Saccharomyces cerevisiae S288C: one gene and its partners. The protein of the gene in region 1 purifies or fractionates together with the protein of each later gene. This does not show direct contact. Each region holds a gene or a part of one and is shown in the gene's direction. Other genes may lie near its edges. The genes, in order: PSA1, SDS24, GRX3 and SAM2.

Region 1 (4,511 bases):
ATAAGAAAATCCGCTTCTAAAAAGAACGGAATTCACCAAGTATCCCAACATTGACCCATTTCTTATGCTTACATATTGTTATTTTTTGCCCCTGTCTTAGTAGCAGAGCTTTCGTCACATGTTCAACTAAATTCCAAACAGTTGAACTTTTTGTTCTACTGATCTTGTAATTCATGCTTCCTTCTATGCAACACGCCATACTAATTTAGTAGAATGAACAGTAACTGGTGAACGATGACTCTGTAGTAGAATACTATAAAAAGGTGGCATCGTATAAAGGTGCCTTCTTTGACCCTTGGCAGGTAGGGCGGCAACGGCACAATGATATTTTATTTAACAAAAAGATACGCTAACACCGCATCTGAACACGTAATACTACTATATGACTTGGAACAAATGGCTAATCAATAATCACATATGTTCGACCGCTGCAGGAAAAGAGAAAAGAAAGCAGTTTCTACAAGCAAGAACTTGGAAATACAGACAAACCTCCAGTACTTTATTAGGATTGTCCATTCCTCACCCAGATATGTTAAATTCGATACCAATGTGTTTTGATTCACGCGCAGAAAGAAGGACTTTCCCTGCTCTGCTCGGCAAAAACATACACGTTGTCGACCGAGCACGACTGCCGTTGTCGAAGCCACCACTGTCACTTCTCGTTTAATATCTTTAATCGCATCATCTATAGTTCCTAATTCTGCATTCCTAACACTGTAGCCTATCCAGCAAAATCATTCCCATTTTCTCTTTATATGTGCCTAGATTTTAAAATTTTGCTTAAGATGATTTACATTGAGGGGGGAAACTTGCTTTATCCGCTCCTCCAATTGATTCAAGAAGTATGGGCGCTGACCTACCATCTCAATTTCTTGTTTCACTCGAGAATTGTCACTGAGATAGTAAATGTCTAGAGAATCCTTTGCAACAGGAGATTTCAAATTTATATTCTTTGTGTTCGCATTCGCTTCCCGTCTGTTACTCGTTCCCTTACCATTCTATTATGCATTGCAGATCTGCCAAGTAAAAAAAAAAATACCTTGGTGTACACACCACCCATACATTATCTGACAAGGAAACAAAAGTAATGACAGTAAATTGAAGAACTTGTGATGAGCCAAAAAGAAGAATGTGTGCACTTCTTTTCGTATTTTTATGGTAAAGCCAGTTGGTGGCTTTCTTTGACGATATGAAACCCAGGATCCCATGCTGCCTATGTTGCATTTATGTAATTGTCTGTATGAAGCTCGCATTTTAGAGTTACTACTATGTGCTTTCTATGCAGTTGCTTGCCGCAGCCAAGACGTAGAGATTTCTTAGACGTGCTTTTTATTTCTTATGAAAGTAAAGAGTGTGTATACAACGAACTATGTTAATAATTAGTAGTACCAGAACATTGACTTTCGTAAGGACCAAACGGCATCCCTATCTCGGAAGAACACCACATGATGCAAGTTCTCCTGCCTACGAATAGTTCGTCAGGTGCCAGCACTGAGACCACCCAAACTAAAGGCAATCGAAAACTATACCACGTTTATCGTTATGTTTCGGCGGCTCACCTTGTATCAACCTGCTTGGCAAGCTGCTCTGCGAGGCTCCATTTTTTTACATTTTCAAGAGGAGTACATTTCACCTTAAAAAACGGCACGGAGAAAGCCTAAACTTGGTTGCATATACGCAATTACAAATCTTTTATAACTACTTCTGATTCTGTGCACGACGTGCCACCCGGTACAGTTCAAAGGTCACTATACGCACTGTCGATCGAGCCAACCCAACCCACAGAACATCCTAAAGCTTCAAATCGAAACGCGTACAGTCAGCATTCTTCATGCTGCACCCGATCCTTCTTACCGCGTGCTGGGTGAAAAGCAAGACTAAGAGCAAGACCCTTGGATAACGGCACCAAATGGACTACTTTCGTCCTTTCCTGCAACTCTGACTATAGCTTTTTCTATCATTGCCTAAACCAAACCGTCCACGCCACCTCACCAGCAACGCACAGCATGAAGAACGCGAAAACAGAAAAAAAAAACGCCAAAAGAAACGGCCACCGTGTACTTGCTGGCCAGCTAGAAATGCCTCGGGAGCCACCACGTTTATTTTTATCTCAATCTCTGAAAAACTTTTTTTTCTTTGTTTTTGTCGTTTTTCAGCATGAACAGCGCAGCAATAAACAAACAAACAAACAAACAGACGAACAGACACAGAACCACAGCTGACCGGTAGTAAAGTAAGCTGGTGGTTTCTCGCTTTGTTTTCTTTTTTTCCTTGCCTCGTGGCGCTCTTGTAAACATATATATAGTAGACTTTTCACGTCATTGTTAGAAGTTTCACATAGTCTTGTTTTCTTTTCTCCAAAACTGTATTTTTTTTTTCTTTGTCTATCTTGTTCTCACCTCTTTGACTTTGATAACGTTCATCAAGTGTGCAAACTACTTTACATTCGCTAACTCTTTTCTTCTGTCCAAATATTTTGTTGACTATACAAACAAAATATTATCAGCACAAGACAAGCTACAACTTCAACAAATAAAACATATATAATTGAAAAATGAAAGGTTTAATTTTAGTCGGTGGTTACGGTACCAGATTGAGACCTTTAACTTTGACCGTTCCAAAGCCACTGGTTGAATTCGGTAATAGACCAATGATTTTACACCAAATCGAGGCTTTAGCCAACGCTGGTGTTACTGACATCGTTCTTGCTGTTAATTACAGACCAGAAGTCATGGTGGAAACTTTGAAGAAGTACGAAAAGGAATATGGTGTTAACATCACTTTCTCTGTAGAAACTGAACCATTAGGTACTGCAGGTCCATTGAAATTGGCTGAAGATGTTTTGAAGAAGGACAACTCTCCATTTTTCGTCCTAAACTCCGACGTCATTTGCGAATATCCATTCAAGGAATTGGCTGACTTCCACAAAGCTCACGGTGGTAAAGGTACCATTGTTGCTACCAAGGTCGACGAACCTTCTAAATACGGTGTCATTGTCCATGATATAGCTACTCCAAACTTGATTGACAGATTTGTTGAAAAGCCAAAGGAATTTGTTGGTAACAGAATTAACGCCGGTTTGTACATTTTAAACCCAGAAGTCATTGACTTGATTGAAATGAAGCCAACTTCAATTGAAAAGGAAACTTTCCCAATCTTGGTCGAAGAAAAACAACTATATTCCTTCGATTTGGAAGGTTTCTGGATGGATGTTGGTCAACCAAAGGACTTCTTGTCTGGTACCGTTCTTTACTTGAACTCTTTGGCCAAGAGACAACCAAAAAAATTGGCTACAGGTGCCAACATTGTTGGTAATGCCTTGATCGACCCAACCGCTAAGATTTCCTCCACTGCTAAGATTGGCCCAGACGTGGTTATCGGTCCTAATGTCACCATCGGTGATGGTGTTAGAATCACCAGATCTGTTGTTTTGTGCAACTCCACCATCAAGAACCACTCCTTGGTCAAATCTACCATCGTAGGCTGGAACTCTACCGTTGGTCAATGGTGTCGTTTGGAAGGTGTCACTGTCTTGGGTGACGACGTTGAAGTTAAGGACGAAATCTACATCAACGGTGGTAAAGTCTTACCTCATAAGTCTATCTCCGATAATGTTCCAAAGGAAGCTATTATTATGTGAGTTAGGAAAACGAACTGTAATGAATATAATCTATATCACTCATCTGTTTTTGTTAATTTTATTTTAGCCAATATCATTATAAAAAGAGGAAAACATGCACAGAAAAAGCACTGCTTACTGTTATGTCTTAGTTTGTAATTGAAAATGAAAAATAAAAAAAAAAAAGAAAATAAAGAAAAAAAGGTTGATCCTTATGTAACTTTTTATTTACGTAGAAGTTAATAAATATTATCTCATTGTTTTATCTATTTTTCAGTATATGGATACATGTAAAGTTCCTCTATTTATGTATATTTTATGCATGACTATTCGCGTTTGAGATTGTGATGATCTGTTCTGCGCCCTTATTTTTATTATTGTTGGCTATCAATGTCTGTAGTATTACATCCAGCGAACTATCTACTTCTTCAATATTCATTTCCGTACCTTCCCTGATAATCCGTCTATATTTATGAATCTTGGCATTGTCTTCAAATTTCTTCACCAAGGAACTCAATTTGTTTTTCCTTTGTAATTGCAACATCGTTAGTTCTTGAGCCAATTCCAACCTTTCCAGCGTATTATTATCTTTCTCAACTGTGTTATTGGTGGTAGCCTGAGTTTCATCTTCTATTAATTTGTTCAATAAAACCGTTTGCCTGTATTCCAGCTTTTGTTTTATCAACCGTTTGTATCGTATGAGCCTTTTTCTCAATTTCTTAGTATTTTGTTCTTGTAGACGAGATAAAATTTCGAAGTCATCATTAGTCTGAGCTTCGCCGTTTTCATCTTTACTGCTCTCTTTCAATACCTCTAAAGTTTTTAGGCTTACCTGTATTTTCGTCTTAGAAATGCTTTTTAAAGTTTTTTGCAAACTTTTTATTTCGTTGTC
Region 2 (5,037 bases), on another chromosome or scaffold:
TCCTTGTTTGTTGGTGATCTTTCTCCCACCGCCACTGAAGCTGATTTGTTATCTCTTTTCCAAACGAGGTTCAAATCTGTTAAAACCGTCCGCGTGATGACTGACCCTTTAACAGGATCATCTCGTTGTTTTGGATTTGTCAGATTCGGTGATGAAGATGAGCGCCGCAGGGCACTGATTGAGATGAGTGGGAAATGGTTTCAAGGAAGGGCCTTAAGAGTCGCTTATGCCACGCCAAGAAATAATATGATGCTGCAGTTACAGGAACAACAACAACAGCAACAACAATTGCAGCAACAGCATCAGCAGCTAGATCAGGAGGATAATAATGGCCCTCTCTTGATTAAGACTGCAAATAATCTCATTCAAAACAATAGCAACATGCTTCCTCTCAATGCCTTGCATAACGCGCCTCCAATGCATTTGAATGAGGGCGGCATTTCAAACATGCGTGTAAATGATTCACTACCTTCAAACACCTATAATACAGACCCCACTAATACTACTGTTTTTGTGGGAGGACTGGTACCAAAAACTACCGAATTTCAATTACGTTCACTATTCAAACCCTTTGGACCCATTCTAAATGTCAGGATTCCCAATGGTAAAAACTGTGGGTTTGTTAAATTCGAGAAGAGGATTGATGCTGAAGCTTCAATACAAGGCCTGCAAGGCTTTATTGTGGGCGGCAGTCCAATAAGATTATCATGGGGACGCCCATCCAGTTCAAATGCTAAAACAAATTCGACCATCATGGGGGCAAGCCAATATATGTCCTCAAATGGCCTGAGAGCGCCATCTGCGGCTTCTTCAGTCGATAACTCCAAACAAATTCTTGAACAATATGCGGAAGATAAAAGGCGACTCTTTTTACATCAGCAGCAGCAGCAGCAGCAGCAGCAGCAACAGGATGGTAACTTTTCTATGGAGCAAATGGCGCACAACAACTATTACAACTACAATAATTACGATTATCACAGGAACAAGAATGGCAGCCATAGCGACCTCGTTAATCTGCAGAGATCTAATGTCCCGTATATGCAAGAAGACGGTGCACTGTACCCACACCAATATTCAAGTCCCTCATACTCGCTCCATCCGACGGGCAACCAATTCTCCAATGCTACTAATAACTTACCTCAATTTGGGAACGCGATGTCAATTTCTATGCAACTGCCCAATGGCAACAGCAATAAAACGGCCTCAAGCATGAACACAAACCCTAACACAAACATGATCATGAATTCTAACATGAACATGAACATGAACGTAAATCCAGTACCATACGGAATGGGAAACGGTGCAAATATGTATGACGTGTCCAGGATGATGACTCCTCCCTTAAATATAGCCCCGAATTCCAATAATTCGAAATCGAGCATCATGAACAAGCATCCTAATAGGAACAATGTTCCGCCAATTCATCCTTCTCTTCTACATTGATTACAAAAGACAAAAAAAGAAAATTTTAATCTTGTCCGCAGTTTTATCTGCGTCTCTACGTTCTTACGTTTCTTCTATTAATGCCATTTCAGTTACAACCTAGTCAATTGTCGATCCATAATTCTAATCAAATTTGTTTTTCCTCTATACTACCTATCTATTTTTATCTATCTAAGTACATTTATTTACTCAAACAGTTCCGTTTCAAAGTGTTTTATATTAACTATATATGCGAAAAGCTGGCGTCATAATTTCACGTGTTATAATAGCCATGCTGACGGAAAAAAAATGTGAAAATCGCTACAAAGTCCGATGACTACGGGCAGTAGCATGTAAATGATGGACACACACACACACATATATATATATATACATTTACTTCAATAAAAGGCTGTGCCAGACATTTTTGCCATACATTGTTCATGAAGTGTGCAAAATAAGAGAGTGTATAATAGGATAAAAAATGGTCAAATCGCTACAGCTAGCCCATCAATTAAAAGACAAGAAAATACTACTAATCGGAGGCGGAGAAGTCGGCTTGACAAGGTTATATAAGCTGATACCTACAGGTTGCAAGCTGACTTTAGTATCTCCTGACCTACACAAATCCATTATTCCGAAGTTTGGAAAATTCATCCAGAACGAGGATCAGCCCGACTACAGAGAAGACGCTAAACGCTTTATCAATCCGAACTGGGACCCCACGAAGAATGAAATTTACGAGTACATCCGCAGTGACTTCAAAGACGAATACCTCGACCTAGAAGACGAGAACGACGCGTGGTACATAATAATGACCTGTATACCCGACCACCCTGAAAGCGCAAGAATATATCACCTTTGTAAGGAAAGATTCGGTAAGCAGCAGCTGGTCAATGTGGCGGACAAACCTGATCTCTGTGACTTTTATTTCGGCGCCAACCTGGAGATAGGAGACCGTCTACAGATTCTGATCTCTACCAACGGCCTTTCTCCGCGCTTTGGCGCTCTAGTAAGAGATGAGATCCGTAACTTATTCACACAAATGGGGGATCTGGCGCTGGAGGACGCTGTCGTCAAACTAGGTGAGCTGAGAAGAGGAATTAGGCTGCTGGCACCAGACGACAAGGATGTCAAGTACCGCATGGATTGGGCCAGACGCTGCACAGACCTCTTCGGCATTCAGCACTGCCACAACATCGACGTAAAACGTCTGCTGGATCTTTTCAAGGTCATGTTTCAAGAACAGAACTGTTCCTTGCAGTTCCCTCCCAGAGAACGGTTGCTTAGCGAGTACTGCTCGTCTTGAGCGACAGGGCCTCCTCTTTTAAGGGGCGCGTCCTTTCTATTGTGTAGAGAAAATCTACTGGGATTTTGTATATATTTCGCATATATAGGGGTTGGAGAACGAACAACAATGCCTGTTCAGATCAACTTTTCTTCTATCTTATCAGGCAAGATCAGGCACACAACCCAACTATAATAACTATAAACACTTATAGAACAATTACCGTTTCTTCCTTCACACAACATGGCTTCTACTTCGAACACGTTCCCTCCAAGCCAAAGCAATTCTTCCAACAACCTTCCAACTTCTAGACATGCATCCATTGTGGAGATGCTGTCTACTCCGCCATTGCTGCCCCACGTTCAAGTGAACGATACAGACGACAAGGAACAACCAGAAGAGTCCACGCCGCCAACAGCAACAGCGGCAGCGCCTGGTCCAGGTTGTGCTGCTACACCCGCCCCCTTGCGCGATGAAAAGCCTCAATTCAAACTATCAGCTGTTCCTATGACCCAGACGCCATCGCAGTGTCTGTCATGTGTGCACGCCCAAAAATGGCAACACATACCGTTGTCGCAATTGATCGAACAGAATAAGCTTATTTTTGTTCCAGGTTCCATATCGGTAGAGGAGGCATTCAACACTTTGATCAAGTATCATCTAAACTCTATTCCCGTGGAATCTTTCCCCGGCGACATGAACTGTTTTACTTTCGACTACAATGACCTTAATTCGTACCTTTTGCTGGTTTTGAATAAAATCACCGTCAGCAACAAACAGCTTACTGCAGATTGCCAGAATGGAAAACCCGTACCAGTGGGCGAAATGGTGAAACTAACTCCTAAGAATCCGTTCTATAAGCTGCCGGAGAATGAGAGTTTGTCCACGGTGATGGGGATTCTCGGTTCGGGTGTCCATCGTGTAGCGATAACAAACGAAGAGATGACCAAAGTTAAAGGTATTTTGTCCCAACGTCGTTTGATAAAGTATCTTTGGGACAACGCTAGATCTTTTACAAGCTTAGAACCTCTATTAAACTCCTCATTACAAGATTTGCACATCGGTGTTCTCAATATTCAATCTAAGCCAACTTCAAGACAATCCCGTGTCATCTCTATTCAAGGCGAGGAGCCCTTAATCATGGGCCTTTATAAAATGCATGTGGAAAGAATTTCTTCCATTGCAGTCATCGACAAACAAGGTAATTTGCTAGGTAACATATCGGTAACGGACGTAAAACATGTCACAAGAACCTCCCAATACCCCTTACTACATAAGACATGTCGCCATTTCATTTCTGTCATTTTAAACTCCAGAGGATTAGAAACGGGTAAAGATTCTTTCCCCATTTTTCACGTATACCCCAGTAGTTCACTAGCAAGGACTCTTGCCAAGTTAGTTGCTACAAAGTCTCATAGACTATGGATCGTACAACCGCCGGAGTCGTCAACCTCGGCGTCATCCACAAATTTAACAGCTGCTAATACTGCAGCCAATGCAGTTTCTGCCACCGCTCAATCGTCTGCTAATGGTGCGACTCCAATGTCAAAGTCATCCTCTTCAACATCCCTCAACTCCCACTCTCCGTTGATGACAGCAATGGAAGACCCACCATCCCCACGTTCTTCGGCCATCGCGATCCCACCACCAAGTCCCGCTTCCTCAACAAACACACCAAACCTATTCGAAAAGGAATATAGAACGGGTAAGTTGATCGGTGTGGTCTCATTGACAGACATCATCAACTTATTAGCAAGGAAACAAACAGGGAATAAAGAAGTGGATCCGCAATCCGCAAGAAGACAGAGAGGCAGTATCGCCATGTGAGGCTTGCAGCGTTGTCTTTTCCCGCTGTTTCCCTCTCCCTCAAAAAAAAAAATCTTTTACAATGACTAAAAGAAAATATTGTTCATTTATATGGTTTTAAGTATTTTGTAGACATTTAAGCGTATATACTTGTTCTGAAAACATTTATATATTCTATTTTGTATATTCAACTTATTAAACTCTGACTTTTGCTATTGTCGCGTATATGTATATCTTTTTTTCTTGTCGTGGAAAATTAAAGCAAAATATGTCAGGCGAATGTACACACAATGCAGAAACTGATGCGGTTAATTTTGCATTCTGAAACGATTTAAACGAACAGCATTAACCTCCACGACCATATTCAAACGATTGGAAATGGACCAAAAAGGTATGTTCTGGCTTTATTTTCAATTATCCGCCCTTCGTTAGGGGTGTTTTAGATCATTTTGATTAACAATTCTATTTATGATAGCAATTGTCCTTGATAACTCTAAAAGTGGTAGTAAACAGACAAAATC
Region 3 (4,466 bases), 290 kb from region 1:
TCTAATATTCTTCCATCAAAGAAGAGATCTAGCACCCCCCAAATTTCCAATATCGAGAGTACCGGTTCGGGTGGTATGCATAAATTAAATGTTCCTTTACTTGCTCCCATGTCCCAATCTAACACACATGAGTCGTCGCACGCCAGTAAATCTAAAGATTTCAGACACTCAGACTCGTACAGTGAAAATGAGACTAATCATACAAACGTACCAATATCCAGTACGGGTGGTACCAACAACAAAACTGTTCCGCAGATAAGTGACCAAGAGACTGAGAAAAGGATTATACACCGTTCACCTTCAATCGATGCTTCTCCACCGGAAAATAATTCATCGCACAATATTGTTCCTATCAAAACGCCAACTACTGTTTCTGAACAGAATACCGAGGAATCTATCATCGCTGATCTCCCACTCCCTGATCTACCTCCAGAATCTCCTACCGAATTCCCTGACCCATTTAAAGAACTCCCACCGATAAATTCTCATCAAACTAATTCCAGTTTGGGTGGTATTGGTGACTCTAATGCCTATACTACTATCAACAGTAAGAAAAGATCATTAGAAGATAATGAAACTGAAATTAAGGTATCACGAGACACATGGAATACTAAGAATATGCGTAGTTTAGAACCTCCGAGATCGAAGAAACGAATTCACCTGATTGCAGCTGTAAAAGCAGTAAAATCAATCAAACCAATACGGACAACCTTAAGATACGATGAGGCAATCACCTATAATAAAGATATTAAAGAAAAGGAAAAATATATCGAAGCATACCACAAAGAAGTCAACCAACTATTGAAAATGAATACTTGGGACACTGACAAATATTATGACAGAAAAGAAATAGACCCTAAAAGAGTAATAAATTCAATGTTTATCTTCAACAGGAAACGTGACGGTACTCATAAAGCTAGATTTGTTGCAAGAGGTGATATTCAGCATCCTGACACTTACGACTCAGGCATGCAATCCAATACCGTACATCACTATGCATTAATGACATCCCTGTCACTTGCATTAGACAATAACTACTATATTACACAATTAGACATATCTTCGGCATATTTGTATGCAGACATCAAAGAAGAATTATACATAAGACCTCCACCACATTTAGGAATGAATGATAAGTTGATACGTTTGAAGAAATCACTTTATGGATTGAAACAAAGTGGAGCGAACTGGTACGAAACTATCAAATCATACCTGATAAAACAGTGTGGTATGGAAGAAGTTCGTGGATGGTCATGCGTATTTAAGAATAGTCAAGTAACAATTTGCTTATTCGTTGATGATATGATATTGTTCAGCAAAGACTTAAATGCAAATAAGAAAATCATAACAACACTCAAGAAACAATACGATACAAAGATAATAAATCTGGGTGAAGGTGATAACGAAATTCAGTACGACATACTTGGATTAGAGATCAAATATCAAAGAAGCAAGTACATGAAATTAGGTATGGAAAAATCCTTGACAGAAAAATTACCCAAACTAAACGTACCTTTGAACCCAAAAGGAAAGAAACTTAGAGCTCCAGGTCAACCAGGTCATTATATAGACCAGGATGAACTAGAAATAGATGAAGATGAATACAAAGAGAAAGTGCATGAAATGCAAAAGTTGATTGGTCTAGCTTCATATGTTGGATATAAATTTAGATTTGACTTACTATACTACATCAACACACTTGCTCAACATATACTATTCCCCTCTAGGCAAGTTTTAGACATGACATATGAGTTAATACAATTCATGTGGGACACTAGAGATAAACAATTAATATGGCACAAAAACAAACCTACCAAGCCAGATAATAAACTAGTCGCAATAAGCGATGCTTCATATGGTAACCAACCATATTACAAGTCACAAATTGGTAACATTTTCCTACTCAACGGAAAAGTGATTGGAGGAAAGTCGACAAAGGCTTCGTTAACATGCACTTCAACTACAGAAGCAGAAATACACGCAGTCAGTGAAGCTATTCCGCTATTGAATAACCTCAGTCACCTTGTGCAAGAACTTAACAAGAAACCAATTATTAAAGGCTCACTTACTGATAGTAGATCAACGATCAGTATAATTAAGTCTACAAATGAAGAGAAATTTAGAAACAGATTTTTTGGCACAAAGGCAATGAGACTTAGAGATGAAGTATCAGGTAATAATTTATACGTATACTACATCGAGACCAAGAAGAACATTGCTGATGTGATGACAAAACCTCTTCCGATAAAAACATTTAAACTATTAACAAACAAATGGATTCATTAGATCTATTACATTATGGGTGGTATGTTGGAATAAAAATCAACTATCATCTACTAACTAGTATTTACGTTACTAGTATATTATCATATACGGTGTTAGAAGATGACGCAAATGATGAGAAATAGTCATCTAAATTAGTGGAAGCTGAAACGCAAGGATTGATAATGTAATAGGATCAATGAATATTAACATATAAAACGATGATAATAATATTTATAGAATTGTGTAGAATTGCAGATTCCCTTTTATGGATTCCTAAATCCTCGAGGAGAACTTCTAGTATATTCTGTATACCTAATATTATAGCCTTTATCAACAATGGAATCCCAACAATTATCTAATTACCCACATATATCTCAATAACAAAACGAACAACATGAGATAAAACACGGCCTTCCCTAGCTGAACTACCCAAACGTATAAATGCTTGAACAATTAGTTTAGATCCGAGATTCCGCGCTTCCACCACTTAGTATGATTCATATTTTATATAATATATAAGATAAGTGACATTCCGTGAATTAATCTGATAAACTGTTTTGACAACTGGTTACTTCCCTAAGACTGTTTATATTAGGATTGTCAAGACACTGCGGTATTACTCGAGCCCGTAATACAACAATACACAGTTGTTACGGTCCTATAGTGTAGTGGTTATCACTTTCGGTTTTGATCCGGACAACCCCGGTTCGAATCCGGGTAGGACCTTTTTTAACTGTGGCTTCTCTGTTGAACCATCAGTTACTTTTTTTTTTTTTCAGAGAATGTGTGCCGGGTCATGAGATGCCAAACTAAGAGGTCATTAAAATATATTTCAAAGACTAAATGTGTTCTTTTCAGGTTCCATCTGCATTTTCTTTTAACTACACCTCGTACTGTTATAAACGCCACCAAGCAAGATATTACACAGCAGCAAAACTTTTTCAGGAAATGCCTGTTATTGAAATTAACGATCAAGAGCAATTTACTTACCTAACTACCACTGCGGCCGGCGACAAGTTAATCGTGCTTTATTTCCATACCAGTTGGGCAGAACCATGCAAAGCATTAAAGCAGGTTTTTGAGGCCATTAGTAATGAGCCTTCCAATTCCAACGTCTCTTTCTTATCCATTGATGCGGACGAAAACTCGGAAATTTCAGAACTTTTTGAAATCTCAGCTGTTCCATATTTTATCATAATTCACAAAGGGACAATCTTAAAAGAATTATCCGGCGCGGATCCAAAGGAGTATGTGTCTTTATTAGAAGACTGCAAGAACTCAGTCAATTCCGGATCATCACAAACTCATACTATGGAAAATGCAAACGTAAATGAGGGGAGTCATAATGATGAAGACGATGACGACGAAGAAGAGGAAGAAGAAACTGAGGAGCAAATAAACGCTAGATTGACTAAATTGGTCAATGCCGCGCCGGTAATGTTATTTATGAAGGGGAGCCCCTCTGAACCTAAATGCGGGTTTTCGAGACAACTTGTGGGTATCTTGAGAGAACATCAAGTAAGATTTGGCTTCTTTGATATATTAAGAGACGAATCTGTTAGACAAAACTTGAAAAAGTTTTCTGAATGGCCAACTTTCCCTCAACTTTATATAAATGGGGAGTTTCAAGGCGGTTTAGACATTATCAAGGAATCCTTGGAGGAAGACCCTGATTTTTTGCAGCATGCTCTCCAATCTTAAATAAATAGATGTATTTAGTGTAAATTGAAACAGAAAAGTCTCCATTTCCAACTAATGGTATGCAAGCATTTTTATATGTGTGACATAATGAATGGCTTCTGGTTAAGTTTGGCTTTTTGAACAACCATTGCCCGGAGAAAATAAACGCGTGAGCAGTAGCTGATACGCGTCTCACTTTTTCATAAATTCATGTATAGGTCATCGCCATATAGAGAAAATATTTGAAATTACATCTGTTGAAACTAATAAGAGCTTTTCCTTGGAGCCTTCTTTGCTAACAGATAAGATTTTTTAATTGGAGCAACTAGTTAATTTTGACAAAGCCAATTTGAACTCCAAAATGGCCCCAGCTACCCCTAAAACTTCTAAGACTGCACACTTCGAAAATGGCTCCACATCTTCTCAAAAGAAAATGAAGCAATCGAGTTTGTTATCTTTTTTCTCAAAACAGGTACCTTCTGGCACACCGTCAAAGAAGGTCCAGAAGCCTACTCCAGCGA
Region 4 (4,716 bases), 1.1 Mb from region 1:
CAAAATACAAATGACAGTTCTTCCAATAATTTTACGAATGCTGCAACTTATTCAAAGCCTAAATTGAATATCAAGATTTTAAACGCAGAATTCCAATTTGATAGAAAGAAATTAACGTTTTACTACGTTTGTGAGGAGAGAAATGATTTTAGAGACTTGATAAAAGAGCTGTTCAAATATTACAAGACAAGAATTTGGTTGTGTGCCATCCCGAATAATCTGTCTATTGATTCTAAGTATTATGATAAACAACAAAAAGAGCTGAAATTATATCAAAACATAGTAAAAAATTACAATGCTGAAGATTTAATGAATGTCAATGAGTTTTCGCAGAACAGGGGGAATAACAGAGTTAATTTTGCACCTCCGTTGAACGAAATTGAACTCGACAACTTTCAGATTGCTGTGTATGAAGAATTAGTTCACGAATTATTTCATTAAATGATCTGTTATTTCCTTGTTGTAACTATAAATTTTCTAAAAGAAAAGACAACCATTTGCCATTATTTTGTTAACATTTTTTCATTGTTTTTGTTTTTGTTTGTTTTTGTTTTTGTTTTTATTTTTGTCTACTTTTTTTATGTTATTTTGTTTTATCGTTTCTGTTCGTTGTTTACCTATTTTCCTGCCAATTCAATTTGGTACTATCTTTCTATTATCAATATTTTCTTTCCCTTATGTTTTTTTCTATATGAAAACTTCACAGGGAGAAATAGAAGAAAATGTTCATTATTCTGTTTAACTTTGATAAAAATTACTTATACGTCTCCCAATCATGGTTTCATGGTCACTGGTAAGGAAAAATTCGAAAAACTACGGGACTAAAAATTTTTTAAAGATTGTCCATATTCCTCGATCCACACTTTCAAGTTTGAGATTTATTGTTGGCAACTTTCTTACATTTTTGTTGTTTCAACTTCTATTTTATATTCTAACAGCCGCTTCCATTTATTTTTCATAGGCTTTATATAAAAAACAAAAAATAATGGAATCAACCAACCCTTATAAACTTATATGTAGTTTACATTTAATCAAGGTCTGTTATCGTGGCTATTGCTCTAATTCATTATTTGTCGACATGTATTGGTTGATAATTTTTGTTTTGGTTCACGCGTAAGAATTTTTTTTCTTGTAGTTGCCACGTGAAACCTGACAACTTATAGTCTTTAAGGGAAGAAAGAAAGCCATTCTTTGAAGTGATTTTACTGCTTTCAAGAGTGAGAAACTCCTACATCAACGCCTAAGGAAACTCGTCATATTCTACCAAGGATGATCTCTGTCATGGCGGATGAGAAACATAAGGAGTATTTTAAGCTATACTACTTTCAGTACATGATAATTGGTCTATGTACGATATTATTCCTCTATTCGGAGATATCCCTGGTACCTAGGGGCCAAAACATCGAATTTAGTCTTGATGACCCCAGTATATCAAAACGTTATGTACCTAACGAACTCGTGGGCCCACTAGAATGTTTGATTTTGAGTGTTGGACTGAGTAACATGGTCGTCTTCTGGACCTGCATGTTTGACAAGGACTTACTGAAGAAGAATAGAGTAAAGAGACTAAGAGAGAGGCCGGACGGAATCTCGAACGATTTTCACTTCATGCATACTAGCATTCTATGTCTGATGCTGATTATAAGCATAAATGCTGCCCTAACAGGCGCCTTAAAGTTGATTATAGGAAACTTGAGGCCTGACTTTGTTGATAGATGTATACCTGACCTCCAAAAGATGAGTGATTCAGATTCTTTGGTTTTTGGCTTGGACATTTGCAAGCAGACTAACAAATGGATTCTATACGAAGGCTTAAAAAGCACTCCAAGCGGACATTCAAGTTTCATAGTCAGTACCATGGGCTTTACATATCTTTGGCAAAGGGTTTTCACCACACGCAATACAAGAAGTTGCATTTGGTGCCCTTTATTAGCTCTAGTAGTAATGGTTTCAAGGGTTATCGATCACAGACATCATTGGTACGATGTTGTCTCTGGAGCTGTTCTAGCATTTTTAGTCATTTATTGTTGCTGGAAATGGACATTTACAAACTTGGCGAAAAGAGACATACTTCCTTCACCGGTTAGTGTTTAGTAACACTTACAGAGTCCTATCAGGAAAGAATAAAAGCCGATCAAGCTTCATTCTCAGGTAACAACTGGAGCACTGGCGAGCTTTGCTCTATTATATAAGATAAAATATGCACTAAAAGTTTGCATTTCTTTACATAACTAAAACTAAGACATTATGCATAGCTTACCTGATCAAAAAGTATGTAAACTTGTTAACATCTTCACATGTGATTCATCTGGTCGTACTTTCTTGCGGTGCAGTGTAATATTTCTACCCACGTGACTATAATTGAGCTTGAAAACTGTGGCGTTTTTCCACCGATGGGTCCACGCCAGATATTAACCGAAGCCAAAATACCGATGAAATTTCTGAGATAGCTCTTGTAAACGACGTCAAATCTTCATATGCAAGGAGATCTTGATTTCTTTTTGGTAGTCATCTGTCGTCTTGAGGCGTATAAGAAGGAGGTTATATCTGTCCTTTCTACAAAGTATTTTCGAGAATCTTGCTTCTGCCCCTTTTTTCTTTTTTTAAAAGGTTTAAAAAACATAACTGTCTTCAATATATCCAGTATTTACGACAATATACAAACATAATCATGTCCAAGAGCAAAACTTTCTTATTTACCTCTGAATCCGTCGGTGAAGGTCACCCAGACAAGATTTGTGACCAAGTTTCTGATGCTATTTTGGACGCTTGTTTAGAACAAGATCCATTCTCCAAGGTTGCCTGTGAAACAGCTGCCAAAACTGGTATGATTATGGTTTTCGGTGAAATTACCACCAAAGCTAGACTTGACTACCAACAAATAGTAAGAGATACCATCAAGAAGATTGGTTATGACGATTCTGCCAAGGGTTTCGACTACAAGACATGTAATGTTTTAGTAGCTATCGAACAACAATCTCCAGATATCGCTCAAGGTCTGCACTATGAAAAGAGCTTAGAAGACTTAGGTGCTGGTGACCAAGGTATAATGTTTGGTTACGCTACAGACGAAACTCCAGAAGGGTTACCATTGACCATTCTTTTGGCTCACAAATTGAACATGGCTATGGCAGATGCTAGAAGAGATGGTTCTCTCCCATGGTTGAGACCAGACACAAAGACTCAAGTCACTGTCGAATACGAAGACGACAATGGTAGATGGGTTCCAAAGAGGATAGATACCGTTGTTATTTCTGCTCAACATGCTGATGAAATTTCCACCGCTGACTTGAGAACTCAACTTCAAAAAGATATTGTTGAAAAGGTCATACCAAAGGATATGTTAGACGAAAATACCAAATATTTCATCCAACCATCCGGTAGATTCGTCATCGGTGGTCCTCAAGGTGACGCTGGTTTGACCGGTAGAAAGATTATTGTCGACGCTTACGGTGGTGCCTCATCCGTCGGTGGTGGTGCCTTCTCCGGTAAGGACTATTCCAAGGTCGATCGTTCCGCTGCTTACGCTGCTAGATGGGTTGCCAAGTCTCTAGTTGCCGCTGGTTTGTGTAAGAGAGTCCAAGTCCAATTTTCATATGCTATTGGTATTGCTGAACCATTGTCTTTACATGTGGACACCTATGGTACAGCTACAAAATCAGATGACGAAATCATTGAAATTATTAAGAAGAACTTCGACTTGAGACCAGGTGTGTTAGTAAAGGAATTAGATTTGGCTAGACCAATTTACTTACCAACCGCTTCTTATGGTCACTTCACTAATCAAGAGTACTCATGGGAAAAACCAAAGAAATTGGAATTTTAAACATTTAGACAATAAATGTTTTATTTTGATTTTTATAATTATTTCAATCCCTTTCTTTATGCTAGGCTGGTCCCGATCACCTCCCTATATTGAGAAGACGATGCCTTATCGTTTGATTCGCTCAACTCGAGTCATGTAATTACTAGAAAATGATACAATAGAAAAGTTTTAAACATTCTTAAACTTGACAAACACCAATAGAATAACATCTAGGCATAATGATCTATTTTGTATGGATTATGTATTAGCTCCTTCAACGGAAATATATAGAAAATATTACTTTATGTTTTTAGAACTTTTTGACGAGTTTTACCAGTTTTTTTCATGATGCTCCACGTGGTAATATGACTATGCTATGGAAATAAGGTTGAAATATAGAATGTCTTTGAGGTTATTTGGTCGGCCTCTTCCAGAAATACTGTTTATGTTTCTTCCTGCACGACCTTAATCGGCTCCTGCCTTTTAACGAATTATACAAAATCTTTCTCTCGTCGCTATCATCGTTTTCAACATCATAGTAATACTCGTCTTCTAATGGCTTGCCAGACGCATCTTTTCCTTCACGCACAATAATACCAATGCAAGAAATAGTCTCCAAGACCTTTTTTAGTTCATCTTTGCTTAATTGTGAAGTGTTGGAATTGATGTTTTGCAATTGGGATAAAGGCGTTTGTTGAAGGTTAGAAAATGCAAGATGATTACATAGCACATGAACTAGGTCATCAAACCGAATTCCTCTTTCTGAGAGCGACCGAGAAATTTCGGGAATAATATTCAATGAAGTCTTAAGACGTTTTTGTGCAGGAGATACAATCGCGGTTGTAGAAGACAGCTCTTTAGTTTTTTTTGCAACTGCTGCGAAAGATTCTTCTTCATTAATGCCACCACTC

The links.
Region 2: the proteins of PSA1 (region 1) and SDS24 purify together in Saccharomyces cerevisiae (affinity purification with mass spectrometry, with the first as the bait; one large-scale study listed by BioGRID). This does not show direct contact.
Region 3: the proteins of PSA1 (region 1) and GRX3 purify together in Saccharomyces cerevisiae (affinity purification with mass spectrometry, with the first as the bait; one large-scale study listed by BioGRID). This does not show direct contact.
Region 4: the proteins of PSA1 (region 1) and SAM2 purify together in Saccharomyces cerevisiae (affinity purification with mass spectrometry, with the first as the bait; one large-scale study listed by BioGRID). This does not show direct contact.

Annotation. Positions count from the first base shown.
Region 1 is NC_001136.10:354,803-359,313, reverse strand, and holds PSA1 (mannose-1-phosphate guanylyltransferase), read left to right. Parts: upstream 1-2,554; coding exon 2,555-3,640; downstream 3,641-4,511. Other genes in the region: transcription factor MBP1, read right to left, coding at 3,936-4,511. UniProt on the Saccharomyces cerevisiae protein: Involved in cell wall synthesis where it is required for glycosylation. Involved in cell cycle progression through cell-size checkpoint.
Region 2 is NC_001134.8:648,462-653,498, forward strand, and holds SDS24 (Sds24p), read left to right. Parts: upstream 1-2,953; coding exon 2,954-4,537; downstream 4,538-5,037. Other genes in the region: NGR1 (Ngr1p), read left to right, coding at 1-1,443; bifunctional precorrin-2 dehydrogenase/sirohydrochlorin ferrochelatase MET8, read left to right, coding at 1,907-2,731; HPC2 (Hpc2p), read left to right, coding at 4,895-4,907, 4,992-5,037. UniProt on the Saccharomyces cerevisiae protein: Involved in DNA replication and cell separation during budding.
Region 3 is NC_001136.10:643,678-648,143, reverse strand, and holds GRX3 (monothiol glutaredoxin GRX3), read left to right. Parts: upstream 1-3,213; coding exon 3,214-3,966; downstream 3,967-4,466. Other genes in the region: mismatch repair ATPase MSH6, read left to right, coding at 4,307-4,466.
Region 4 is NC_001136.10:1,452,420-1,457,135, reverse strand, and holds SAM2 (methionine adenosyltransferase SAM2), read left to right. Parts: upstream 1-2,671; coding exon 2,672-3,826; downstream 3,827-4,716. Other genes in the region: PSP1 (Psp1p), read left to right, coding at 1-441; SPG3 (Spg3p), read left to right, coding at 442-825; phosphatidate phosphatase LPP1, read left to right, coding at 1,270-2,094; PLM2 (Plm2p), read right to left, coding at 4,218-4,716. UniProt on the Saccharomyces cerevisiae protein: Catalyzes the formation of S-adenosylmethionine from methionine and ATP. The reaction comprises two steps that are both catalyzed by the same enzyme: formation of S-adenosylmethionine (AdoMet) and triphosphate, and subsequent hydrolysis of the triphosphate.